Rattus norvegicus: one gene and its partners. The protein of the gene in region 1 purifies or fractionates together with the protein of each later gene. This does not show direct contact. Links are inferred from orthologs where the notes say so. Each region holds a gene or a part of one and is shown on either strand. Other genes may lie near its edges.

The links.
Region 2: the proteins of Nepro (region 1) and Rpp30 purify together in Homo sapiens (affinity purification with mass spectrometry; 3 studies listed by BioGRID and IntAct, counting the BioPlex papers as one, with this or other methods). This does not show direct contact. The link is inferred for Rattus norvegicus from reciprocal best matches to the Homo sapiens genes RMP64 and RPP30.
Region 3: the proteins of Nepro (region 1) and Rpp25l purify together in Homo sapiens (affinity purification with mass spectrometry; 3 studies listed by BioGRID and IntAct, with this or other methods). This does not show direct contact. The link is inferred for Rattus norvegicus from reciprocal best matches to the Homo sapiens genes RMP64 and RPP25L.

The regions. Positions count from the first base shown.
Region 1 is NC_086029.1:69,463,635-69,466,453, reverse strand, and holds the end of Nepro (nucleolus and neural progenitor protein), read left to right. Parts: intron 1-1,552; coding exon 1,553-2,018; 3' UTR 2,019-2,191; downstream 2,192-2,819. UniProt on the Homo sapiens protein: May play a role in cortex development as part of the Notch signaling pathway. Downstream of Notch may repress the expression of proneural genes and inhibit neuronal differentiation thereby maintaining neural progenitors.
Region 2 is NC_086019.1:243,197,332-243,201,521, forward strand, and holds the start of Rpp30 (ribonuclease P protein subunit p30), read left to right. Parts: upstream 1-1,381; 5' UTR 1,382-1,389; coding exon 1,390-1,471; intron 1,472-2,756; coding exon 2,757-2,812; intron 2,813-4,190. UniProt on the Homo sapiens protein: Component of ribonuclease P, a ribonucleoprotein complex that generates mature tRNA molecules by cleaving their 5'-ends. Also a component of the MRP ribonuclease complex, which cleaves pre-rRNA sequences.
Region 3 is NC_086023.1:61,673,837-61,677,288, reverse strand, and holds Rpp25l (ribonuclease P protein subunit p25-like protein), read left to right. Parts: upstream 1-1,467; 5' UTR 1,468-1,515; exon of another isoform or gene 1,516-1,737; intron 1,738-2,120; 5' UTR 2,121-2,157; coding exon 2,158-2,649; 3' UTR 2,650-2,868; downstream 2,869-3,452. UniProt on the Homo sapiens protein: May be a component of ribonuclease P or MRP.

The DNA of each region.
Region 1 (2,819 bases):
GAAGTGTACGCATGTGCATTACCTACCTTGTTTAAAATCTCCCAGCTCTTGAGGTGCTAGAACAAGACAAGTACAGTTTCATGTGTTGCTAACGTTATCTGGGCAGTTGTGTCAGGAGAAAGTGACAGTTGTTTGGAATCCTTACACCATGTCATTCCCACTGGCTCATTTCAGAAAGCCTTAGATTACCTCTGGTGTTCAAAACCTGGTGCTGACAGCATGGGGCAGCCTTAGTCCTCAGGAGCTCTGTTCTTGTGGGCGGTGGCCTTCTGTAGATACGGCAGCAGCACAGCCGGCTGAGGATGTGAGGGAAGTGTGTCTGCCTGTGAGGCCCACACAGGCTGCAGGAACAGTCGCTTAGCCCCTCACATTGAGAGATTCAGTTTATTGTGGGTCTTACAAAGATAGAACAGTTTAGGGTTGTGAGGAAACAGATCATGATGATGAACAGTTAGCAAGAGGGGTAACAAACAGGTCTGTTGATTAAGTGGTAGTCTCTACTTCCCAAAATATGTTGACTATATTGCCCTATTGCTGTTTCAGTAATACATCTTTTTTCCTATGGAACACTTTGTAAAACATTAGAGTTCACAGTATTCTGGAAGGTGGGCAGCATTGTTCCATTCATACATGGAGAGATGGTTTTCAGTATTCTGGAAGGTGGGCAGCATTGTTCCATTCATACATGGAGAGATGGTTTTCAGTATTCTGGAAGGTGGGCAGCATTGTTCCCATTCATACATGGAGACATGGTTTTGTTCAAGCTGTTGGCCCTGGAGAGCTAGGACTTATTTCAGGTCCTCCCATTATTATTTTTGTTTCAACTCAGAGATGCACCCACATTTTACTCAATGCAAAGTCAGTGCTTCTAGTCATGGCTGGGAAATCGGGGTCCTAAATTGCTTATTAATATATATTAATATATAATTTTATTTCTTTAAAGTAAGAGCAGAGGGACTTGGCTTAGGCACATAGACCTATATTAATCTTTACCAACAGTTATGAGGTGCGAGGCAAATGCCAAACGTATGAGGTAAGTTCTGACTGCAGGGGATACAGAACAACTCCCAGGACACCTCACAGGGGTCAGTTTGTCTTTGCTAGATGACCCCTCGTTATTTTCATTCCTTCCCCCTGTTCGTTTCCTGCTACAACATGAGCTTAGCCAGAAGTGGATTCTGACACACCACAGAGCTTTTAATTTGTGATATTTTGCCATTTCCACTCTTGTTTACCTAGAAACAGATTATCAGCACGAGGGAAAGGCTATGGCTCTTAAGTGTGAACAAGGTCACACCAGATGTGTCCTTGCTAGGCAGTCATGAGAGTTACTTTAGGGCAAAATGGAGGCACATCTGCCTGTATCCTGAATCAGAGAGGGAATCTGAAAAAATGCTCTTAGGTTGAAACTCCCATTTCCTTACATATATACAGGCCTAGGACTTGTAATAAATTGTGTACTCTTCTGTTGACAGTTGGTGGAGACAGTTAAAAGTGCTTGAGAACTTTTTAGTATCATAATAAGTTGAGATTTCTCTCTTTTGTTCTTTAGTTTGCCGAAGAAGCTTCAGTGCATGAAAACATCTCTTTGCAAGGGCCTTCTCCGAGGCTTCAGTGTCAGCACTTCAAAGCACCCTCCCAGACAAAGAAGATCAAAGTATAAAGTTTTATCAAGACAAAGGAAACCACAGAGAAAGTTACAGTCAACTCTTATAAAGGAAACCCAGCAGGTCCCTGAAGGGACTCTGAAAACCACTAGGGACAGCAGTGCTAAGAAGAGATGCTCTGGTGGGACAGTTCAGAGGTCAGATGTCTGTCTGAATGGAGAGCAGGTCTTGAGCAAACTTGCAAAGCCTGACCTAAAAGCTAAGAAGATGGGGGTCCATGGGAATCTGAGAGGGGGCGGTGGAAGTGAAACCGGCCTGCGGACGAAGAGACAGGTGCACATGCACAGTGCGCCAGGCACCGCTCAAGAGGCAGATGACATTGATGATATTTTTGCTTTGATGGGAGTTTAGATGTACTTAGGTGAAACTTCTGAGCAGTTAACAAGCTGGTCCAGTGTTCTGCTGTTTTAAGGGGTATTGCTAAGATCTGGAAACACTGCTTAGGCTGAGAGCTGCGTCTGTGCAGTATTCCAGTGTGTGCATTCCAATTCAATAAACATTGACAGCAGCGTTGTGTAAGTTAATCAGATGGTGAGTATTTGGCTTTGACTGTGCAAGGTGGTAAATATGATGAATGGCCTGCCCCTGGGGAACGCACCCTTCATGACTGAAACAAGTAGGTTTCTCAATATCAGATGACTTTATGATCTACTATGGCATTAAAATCTGGAATTATTTCACAAAATCTTATGTATCTGAAGGTAAACAGAACAAGGTTGGCATAGCAGAGAAACATCATGTTTTTAAGGTTTTTACATTTTGTGCATGGGTACGTACTTATGTGTGGATATCAGACAGTAACATACATGAATATGGGTATCGGAGGGTAACTTCTGAGAGTTGGTTCTGTTCTTTTACCTCTGGGTCCAAGGGGTGGTGTCCTAGTTAGTGTTTTGCTGCTGTGAACAGACACCATGACCAAGGCAAGTCTTATAAAGGACAACATTTAATTGGGGCTGGCTTACAGGTTCAGAGGTTCAGTCCATTATCATCAAGGTAGAAGCATGGCAGCATCCAGGCAGGCATGGTGCAGGAGGAGCTGAGAGTTCTGTATCTTGTTCCGAAAGCAAACAGAAGACTGGCTTCTAGGCATCTAGGAGGAAGGGCTTAAAGCTCACACCCACAGTGACACATCCACTCCAACAAGACCAC
Region 2 (4,190 bases), on another chromosome or scaffold:
AAATTCTATCTTATCTAGATCCTCTACACAATGGCCATTCTATGGACCAATCTAGATTTTGCGATCCTGTATAGAGACACCTCTCTACTACTATAAAGGTTAGAACTGGACACTCTGATGAAAAAAAGCAAGAGTTTGTTTTGTATGGCCTTGCTCTAGTTGCAGAAGTTATTTGGTTGTTGTTTTGCTCTGGGGAAATAAAAAGTATTGGAAACAATCATTTTTGAAAATTAATCAAAAAATAGGTGCAGCTGTGCTCGGCTGTAATCCCAGAACCAAGGATACTGAGCCAAGAAGATTGTGAATTCAAGTCTACCCTGGACTACTAATAATACTGCCTCTGCCTCCCCCTCCTCCTCCTCCTCCTCCTCCTCCTCCTCCTCCTCCTCCTCCTCTTCCTCCCCCTCCTCCTCCCCCTCCCCCTCCCCCTCCCCCTCCTCCTCCTCCTCCACATGATCATCATCATGGTCGTCGTCGTCGTTGTCATCATCATCTTTCAGAAATTTGTAAGAAACTAGAGATCGTTACAGTAGTGTGATCAGAGAGAGAAGACTCCCTATGGTTTGTGATCAGTACAGAAACTGAAAATGCTTCACCTTTCAGCACTTTGGTATTATCCCAATGGACAAGCTCATGATCAGTGGACTTTTCTTCTTTGAGAGACCAGCAGTTCAGAAGTCCTATTGAGTTGCACAAGGTAGGAGCTGCTTATTAGTAATGCGCAAAGGGTTCGCATGCTGGAACGAAGACTGAATGAAGAGGGGTAATGGACTGGCCCTCTATGTCAAGTAGGTTGAAAATCATGCCACCATCTTAGGTTGGTGAATAATTGATCTGTCAATATTGAAGAGTTTGTTTTTTAAGAGTCCATTTTAAAGCAGAAACACCAAATGATATTTTTATATTTCTCATGAAAAATTGTAAAACATGTTTTTATTTTTGCCCCTCCCTGTCAGTCCTCTCGCTAAGGGAATGCTGGCGATAAGCCATCATCTTTGAGATCACTCTGCCATCTTGTGGTTGTAGATGTTGGCTGTAAGGAATTGTCAAAGCTCAAAGAGTTTAGATAATCTTTAGCCACAGACCAAGTACTTCAAAAAACCCTTTGCGGCCATTTTCAAAGAATGGAATGTACTGTGGAAACAGGAAAGAAAAACAACTTTCAATGTCTCTTCATTTTTTGTTCAGTTTATCTGCTTTTGAGACTATGTATTTCAGATCAGCATACTAACTTTGGCGGGCTCTAGGGGGATAGGAAAGTCTCTGCTGACTGAGAAGGGAAAACTACAAATCCCAGGATGCCCAAGGAACAACCTAAACTCCCAGCATGCCTGAGGGGCAACACAGCGGCTGTGCAGACTTGCGCGCGGGTTCTCTTGGGATGTCAGCATGGCGGCGTTCGCAGATTTGGATCTAAGAGCGGGCTCAGACCTGAAGGCTCTGCGCGGACTCGTGGAGACCGCTGCTCACCGTGAGTCTTCTGGCTTCGCGTTGTCCTCCCTACCATCCAGCTTTGTTTGGTAGTTTTTTTCAGGCGCTATTCGGGTCTCGCGTGGGATCTGCCTGACGTCTCTAGAGGCAGATTATAGCTGCAGTATCACCCGGATCCCCTGCGTGAGAAACTCAGAGGCTCTTGACAAAACTGTTGTTACTTGTGTTTGCCCAGTCATTCGTGCAGAGGGAGAGAACAGAGGCCCAGGGGGTGGAGAGATTAGCATAGGACCTACGAGCTGATAAATGATAGAAACGGACTGCACTCCTAAGCCGGCTCTTTTTGAGTCACACGACGTCTGTCAAATACAGAAAGCTGGGTCATGGGCAGGAACTGCTGTGGAAGCTTAGAGAATGGAAAGGGTGTTACCTTATTTTTCTAGAGCATTATAAGTTCCTTGAGGATGAGCATTGATCATGGGAGCTCTCACCTGGCATAGGGCTTGCCAAATAATAGATTCTCAAAACCCTTGTAGAGGAAGGAAAGCAGGGAGTTATTGGGCTGCCTGATAAGAGGAACGACCGTTTTTTGCTTTTTGTTACTTGATTTTTGTTTTTGTCATTACTATGCATTATCTTTAAATATCAATACCCTATCATCCTGTCGGTATTTGGACAACTTAATAGATAAGAGTCGTGATTTAAATCCATTGGGGAGAGGGCACGTATCACAAACAGTACACTAACTGTTGTGATGGTAAGGCAGGCCTGTAGTGTTCCTTGTCTCAGTGTAGAGAGAGTAGTACCTCAAAAGAGGTGTGAGGGAGTCATCCCTCCTTTGCTCCCTAGGAAAGAGGAAATAGAAAGGGTATCGCAGAAGAAGTGAATGAATGATGTCAAAGGTGACAGAAAGACATATAAATCTGAGTTTTTAACATTGTGTGAACATAAACCACAGCCTAAATATGTTCCTGGCTTCTAAATGTCACAGCCAAATATGTGTACTCTTCTAAAACGCTGGGGCTGTTTCACATCATTTTCATGACACTTGAAATTCCTGTCTGCTGTTACCATCATGTGACAGATGAAGAACCTGAAACTCCACCTTAAGTAACAATAAACAGTAGGGCTCAGATCTGCCTTCTGCCCCGCCCCCTTATTGTCTAGGTCTTAGAATTGCGTCCAGGATTTTGCGTATGCTAAGCAAGCATTTTAACACTTAGCTACATCCCTAGCCTCATCCCATACTCTTGAATCTCATATCAGTATGATCACTGTGAACAAGAAAGAATATTTTTTAAATAACCTATTTTTCTATTTTTCAGTGGGATACTCAGTTGTTGCCATCAATCACATTGTTGACTTTAAGGAAAAGAAACGGGTAAAGGAGACTTTCTTGGGTTAATTGGTTACTAAATACAAGTATTTCTAAATATTCATGTCTGGAGTTGGGAATATGAACTAGAAACAAGTATAAGTACTAGTTACTTTTCTTGTTGCTATGACCACATACCTGCAAAAGCAACTTAAGGAGGGGTTTATTTTGCTTATACTCTGAAGGTACAGCCCATCGTGGCAGTAGGGGCATGAGATGGCTGGTCACAGTTTCTCCTCAGTCAGGAAGCAGAAAGAGATGAATGCTGGGGTTCTGCTCACATTGTCCCTTTTAGTTCGCTCGCTCAGGCCCCCAACCCATGATGTAGCACAGCTCCCATTCAGGGTGGAAACACCATTATAGAAATATACAGAGATATGTTTCCATGTTCATTTCTAATTCAGTCTAATTGGCAGTCAGGGATCAATCATCTAAGCGTGTTTCTTTTTTATTAAGGGAAGGTCTTGCATGTCTCTGGTCTGGAACTCACTTTGTTGCCAGGGATGACCTCCTGCCTCTACTACCCCAGTGCTGAGATTACAGGCCTATAGGGAAGGCCTTGTGCACTCACCTTGTGCTTTTTGGAAGGCAGTGTACCAGCTGTATTCCTTAAAACCCCCTGCATTTACTTACTTTAGCAGTTGAACAATCGAACATATATTCATACAAATGACTTTTGTTTTGTTTATGAGAAACTCTAATGCAGCCTAAGGAATCCTGACTTTGAGCTCATATTAACTATGTTACCTTCAAAGATGTTTAAAAGTACATTGCTCTTAAATGAACTGAAAGCATAGTATATCTTCTTGTTTACTTTGTTGCCATGGTCTCATGAACTCATTGATTTCTCTCTTTGATAGACTGTCAGTACGTATATTTCTTTTTAAGCAAACAACTGTATATATGTCATTTCTGTCTTCAAGATTGCTTTTTGTTTTGAGGGTTGTTTTGTTTGTCCTAACAGGGTTTCTGGGTATAGCCCTGGCTATCCTGGAACTTACTCTCGAGACCAGACTTACCTTGAACTCAGAGATCCTCCTGTCTCTGTGAGTGCTGGAATTAAAAGCATGTAGGCATGCACCACCACAGTCTGGCCTTTACTCATGTCCTCTGGTGTTCTTAGCATCTGCCCTTTAGTTTCTTGCCTTAAAAAAGGAGAATAGGCTGGAGAGATGGTTCAGTGGTTAAGAGCACTGACTGCGGGGTTGGGGATTTAGCTCAGTGGTAGAGCGCTTGCCTAGGAAGCGCAAGGCCCTGGGTTCGATCCCCAGCTCCGGAAAAAAAAAAAAAAAGAGCACTGACTGCTCTACCAGCGGTCCTGAGTTCAATTCCCAGAAACCACATGGTGGCTCACAACCATCTATAATGGGGCCTGAAGCCCTCT
Region 3 (3,452 bases), on another chromosome or scaffold:
GGCAGGCTCCAGGGCCTTCCACCAACCTGTCTTTATAAGGCAGAGACAGCTTTGCCTCTGAATTCAAATACTACCTGTCTGTGTTCAACTGGGGGCTCTGAGGTCAGAGGTCAGCTTTACCTTAGGGTCATGATTTGTACTCCCTGTCAAATGTATTTATTTCAGTGACAATAAACCATAGAGACCACTAAAGCAATGTGTTGGCTTGCTGATACAGGATGGGCTTGGCTGTGAGGATCTGGGTGGTGAAGAGGAGAGCTGCCAACCCCATGGGATGGGACCAGGAGCTATACCCCTGATCTGGTTTGCTGAGAGATAGAGTTCTCTCATCATTTGACTATACAGCGGGGCATTGTATATTTATTTATCTTATATTTGCCAACTACCCTCTAAATATCACATCCTATGGTAAGTAAGGAGGGCATAGGCAGGGACAGCTAATCTCTACACAGGGTTTGGGGAAGACCAGGTAGGCCTGCATGTCAGGTGGTCCTGGAGGAGCAGGAATGGACGTTCAGAGCCAAGGCTGCACTGCCTTGTGTCTACATAATACCAGTAGCCAGAGGAGGAGCCCAAGATGTAAGAAATTTTAGGATCTTGAGAGGAGGAAAATCAGGGTACATTGATGAGAAAACAGGGAGAAACAGTACCGCGCTCCACCCGGTGTATGCTGCCCTCTTGTGGTCTGAGGGAGTGCCTTAGCTCCTTCAACTGCCTGTAGAGTTGCTTCAGCCCAACCTGTAGAGTTGCTGGCATCCAAAATGCAGCGTATCCAAACGGATCTGAAACTGGCAGTCATCCTAAACTATTCTACCCGAATAGTCACCCGCGCGTCCCCAAAACTTCATACAAGTTTCTATCAAGTTTCTACCACCTCTTCTCAATTCTTGCTGTTTCGGTGGTTAACACCTCATTGGACAAATATCGGAGGGCCTATTTTTACCCTGGATACTGGACTAGGCTCTGTGCGCACGCCCCCGTGGCCGAAGCGCTATGATGATGTTGAGTACAGCCCCTTCCCAGGGTCACCAGTATCTGTTGCCCCCACTACCGGATCCGCCATGCTTATAAACCAATCCTCCGTGGCCAATGAGTTATGCACAAGCTATGGCTTAGACCTTACTGAAAACCGCCGGGGTTGATCAGTGTCCCAGGATGAGAACAAAGCTCAGAACTCCGTAACTAAGGGTCTTGCCTGCTTGTACCCACCACGGACGTCGCCTTCGCTGCTGTGCCATCCATCCTTTAAAGGCACAAATCTGCATTCTTCAGGACTCCTCCGATAGCTGTTGCTCTCTCAGGTGGGCCTTCTGCAGGTGCCGGTGTGTACCGCGGACCACTGCGCTGACGCTCGAGGCCGCCCAGGTGACAGCATCAGCTCCTCTGAGTCGAACAGCAACCCGGGTTTCCCTCAGGTCCCGCCCCCTGCGTGCGCGGCCCCGCGGCTCCGCGCGCTCTCGGTCTGCACGCCATCTTGGCTACCCGGTGAGGGTTGAGCGTCTTCTGGCAACGGTGGTAAGAGCCAAATCCCAGGGAGTGGGGACTCAGAGTTAGGGAAAGGGGGATACCTGCTGCCTGGGACAGCGGCCCACGATCGGGGAGTCCGCCAACCGCTCACGAGTGGCCCGAGCAGCTCTCCGGGGAGTCCTCACCCGCGAGTTCCCGAGTGGCCCGGTTCAAGCTAGCCTACTCAGTTAATCTGGGAGTGAGGTCTTCTCTGCCCCCCACACACCGTAGGTGAGACCGATCCTTTCTTTGGGGAGTACTTTGTGAGGGTTCATGGCTGTGCCCCAGGGTCCTTGAAGCCCAGTGAGGAGAACCTGCCTGTTCTTAGAGAGTTGTGGGCCTGGGGTCTGGGACCTAGCCCCGGAGAGCTTGAGATGATGAAGCACAACCCTACCCCAGAGAGCCTAGTTTTTGGGAATTTGTTTTTGTCAATGTTAGAGACTCGTGGATGTATTTAGAAAGGGGTAGATAATTCTCGGCCCCAGCCTTGAAGTGCTGGGGTGAGGGTGTAAAAGCACTCTCCGTGGTGAGGAACAGGACCACATTCTGGAGGGAGTGATGGAGGATGGTCCATGTGATCATGTTCCTGCCACTCATCTGACTCTTTCCCGCAGTGTATATCCAGAGAGTCACCAAAGGCTCGAAAGCAGAATGGAGCACTACCGGAGGGCTGGCTCTGTAGAGCTCCCAGCCTCATCACCAATGCCCCAGCTACCTCCCGACACGCTGGAAATGCGGGTCCGAGATGGGAGCAAAATCCGAAACCTACTAGGGCTGGCACTGGCTCGTTTGGAAGGAGGAAGCACAAGGCACGTGGTGTTCTCAGGCTCCGGCCGGGCCGCTGGAAAGGCCGTCAGCTGTGCAGAGATTGTCAAACGGCGGGTTCCGGGCCTACACCAGCTCACCAAGCTTCGCTTCCTGCAAACTGAGGACAGCTGGGTCCCAACTTCACCGGACACGGGCCTGGACCCCCTCACAGTCCGACGCCATGTGCCTGCAGTGTGGGTACTGCTTAGTCGGGACCCCTTGGACCCCAGTGAATGTGGCTACCAACCCCCAGGTGCACCTCCTGGCCTGGGCTCCATACCTAGTTCCAGCTGTGGTCCCAGACCCCGAAGGAGGGCTCGGGACACCCGGTCCTGACGATCTGCTGGACCTGACTGTACTCTAGACCTGAGTATCTGTGCCTTCTCTAAGAAGTGCTTGTGATTGCTCACCATGCCAGCAGAGTCCACAGAAGAACTTCCCCTCCTCTCTGGAATGAGGGGTGGAACTGTTAAAAGCACTGGTGTGAGCGCAAGGCCCTGGGTTCGGTCCCCAGCTCCGAAAAAAAGAACCAAAAAAAAAAAAAAAAAAAAAAAAGCACTGGTGTGGGTCCGGTCAGTGCTGAGTTAAAGACTGCGTGAGGAGAGCTTACTCTGCCTCTATAGTATGTCTGACTTGCCTTTTCTGACTAGGGAAGGGAAATAAAGGTTGTGCCGCTTTGTTTGGCCTGCGTGTGAGTGGGGCTTGGCTTTATCCCAGGAGCTCCTAGGCTGGAAGCAGGAAGGATACAGAGAGACTGGCAGTGGATGACGGATCTGGTCTCGATGAAAGTTCTAGCAGTAGTAACCTGGATGGCTTCTTGCCGCCTGCTTTAAGCTGGGTTGGGACTCAGCCAGTTGTCCCATCTGTGGCATGCGTATGTTTTAGTGTAGTGGGATCATGAACTCAGCCTTGGCGGTTCAGGGTTTTGATCCTGGTTCTCCTACTCCCAAGTTACTGCTCTGTGGTTTTGGATAAAAGTTCCTTCTCTGGGTCTTAGCGCTCTCATCCAAAAAGTGGGGGGGTGAGGTGCTTACCTCGTTAGAGCTGTGAAGCTTAGAACGAGGTGCACACATCTGCCATTCAGCCTCCACCTGAGCACCCGGTGCTACACAAAAGGAAGCTCAAGCTTACACACGCGC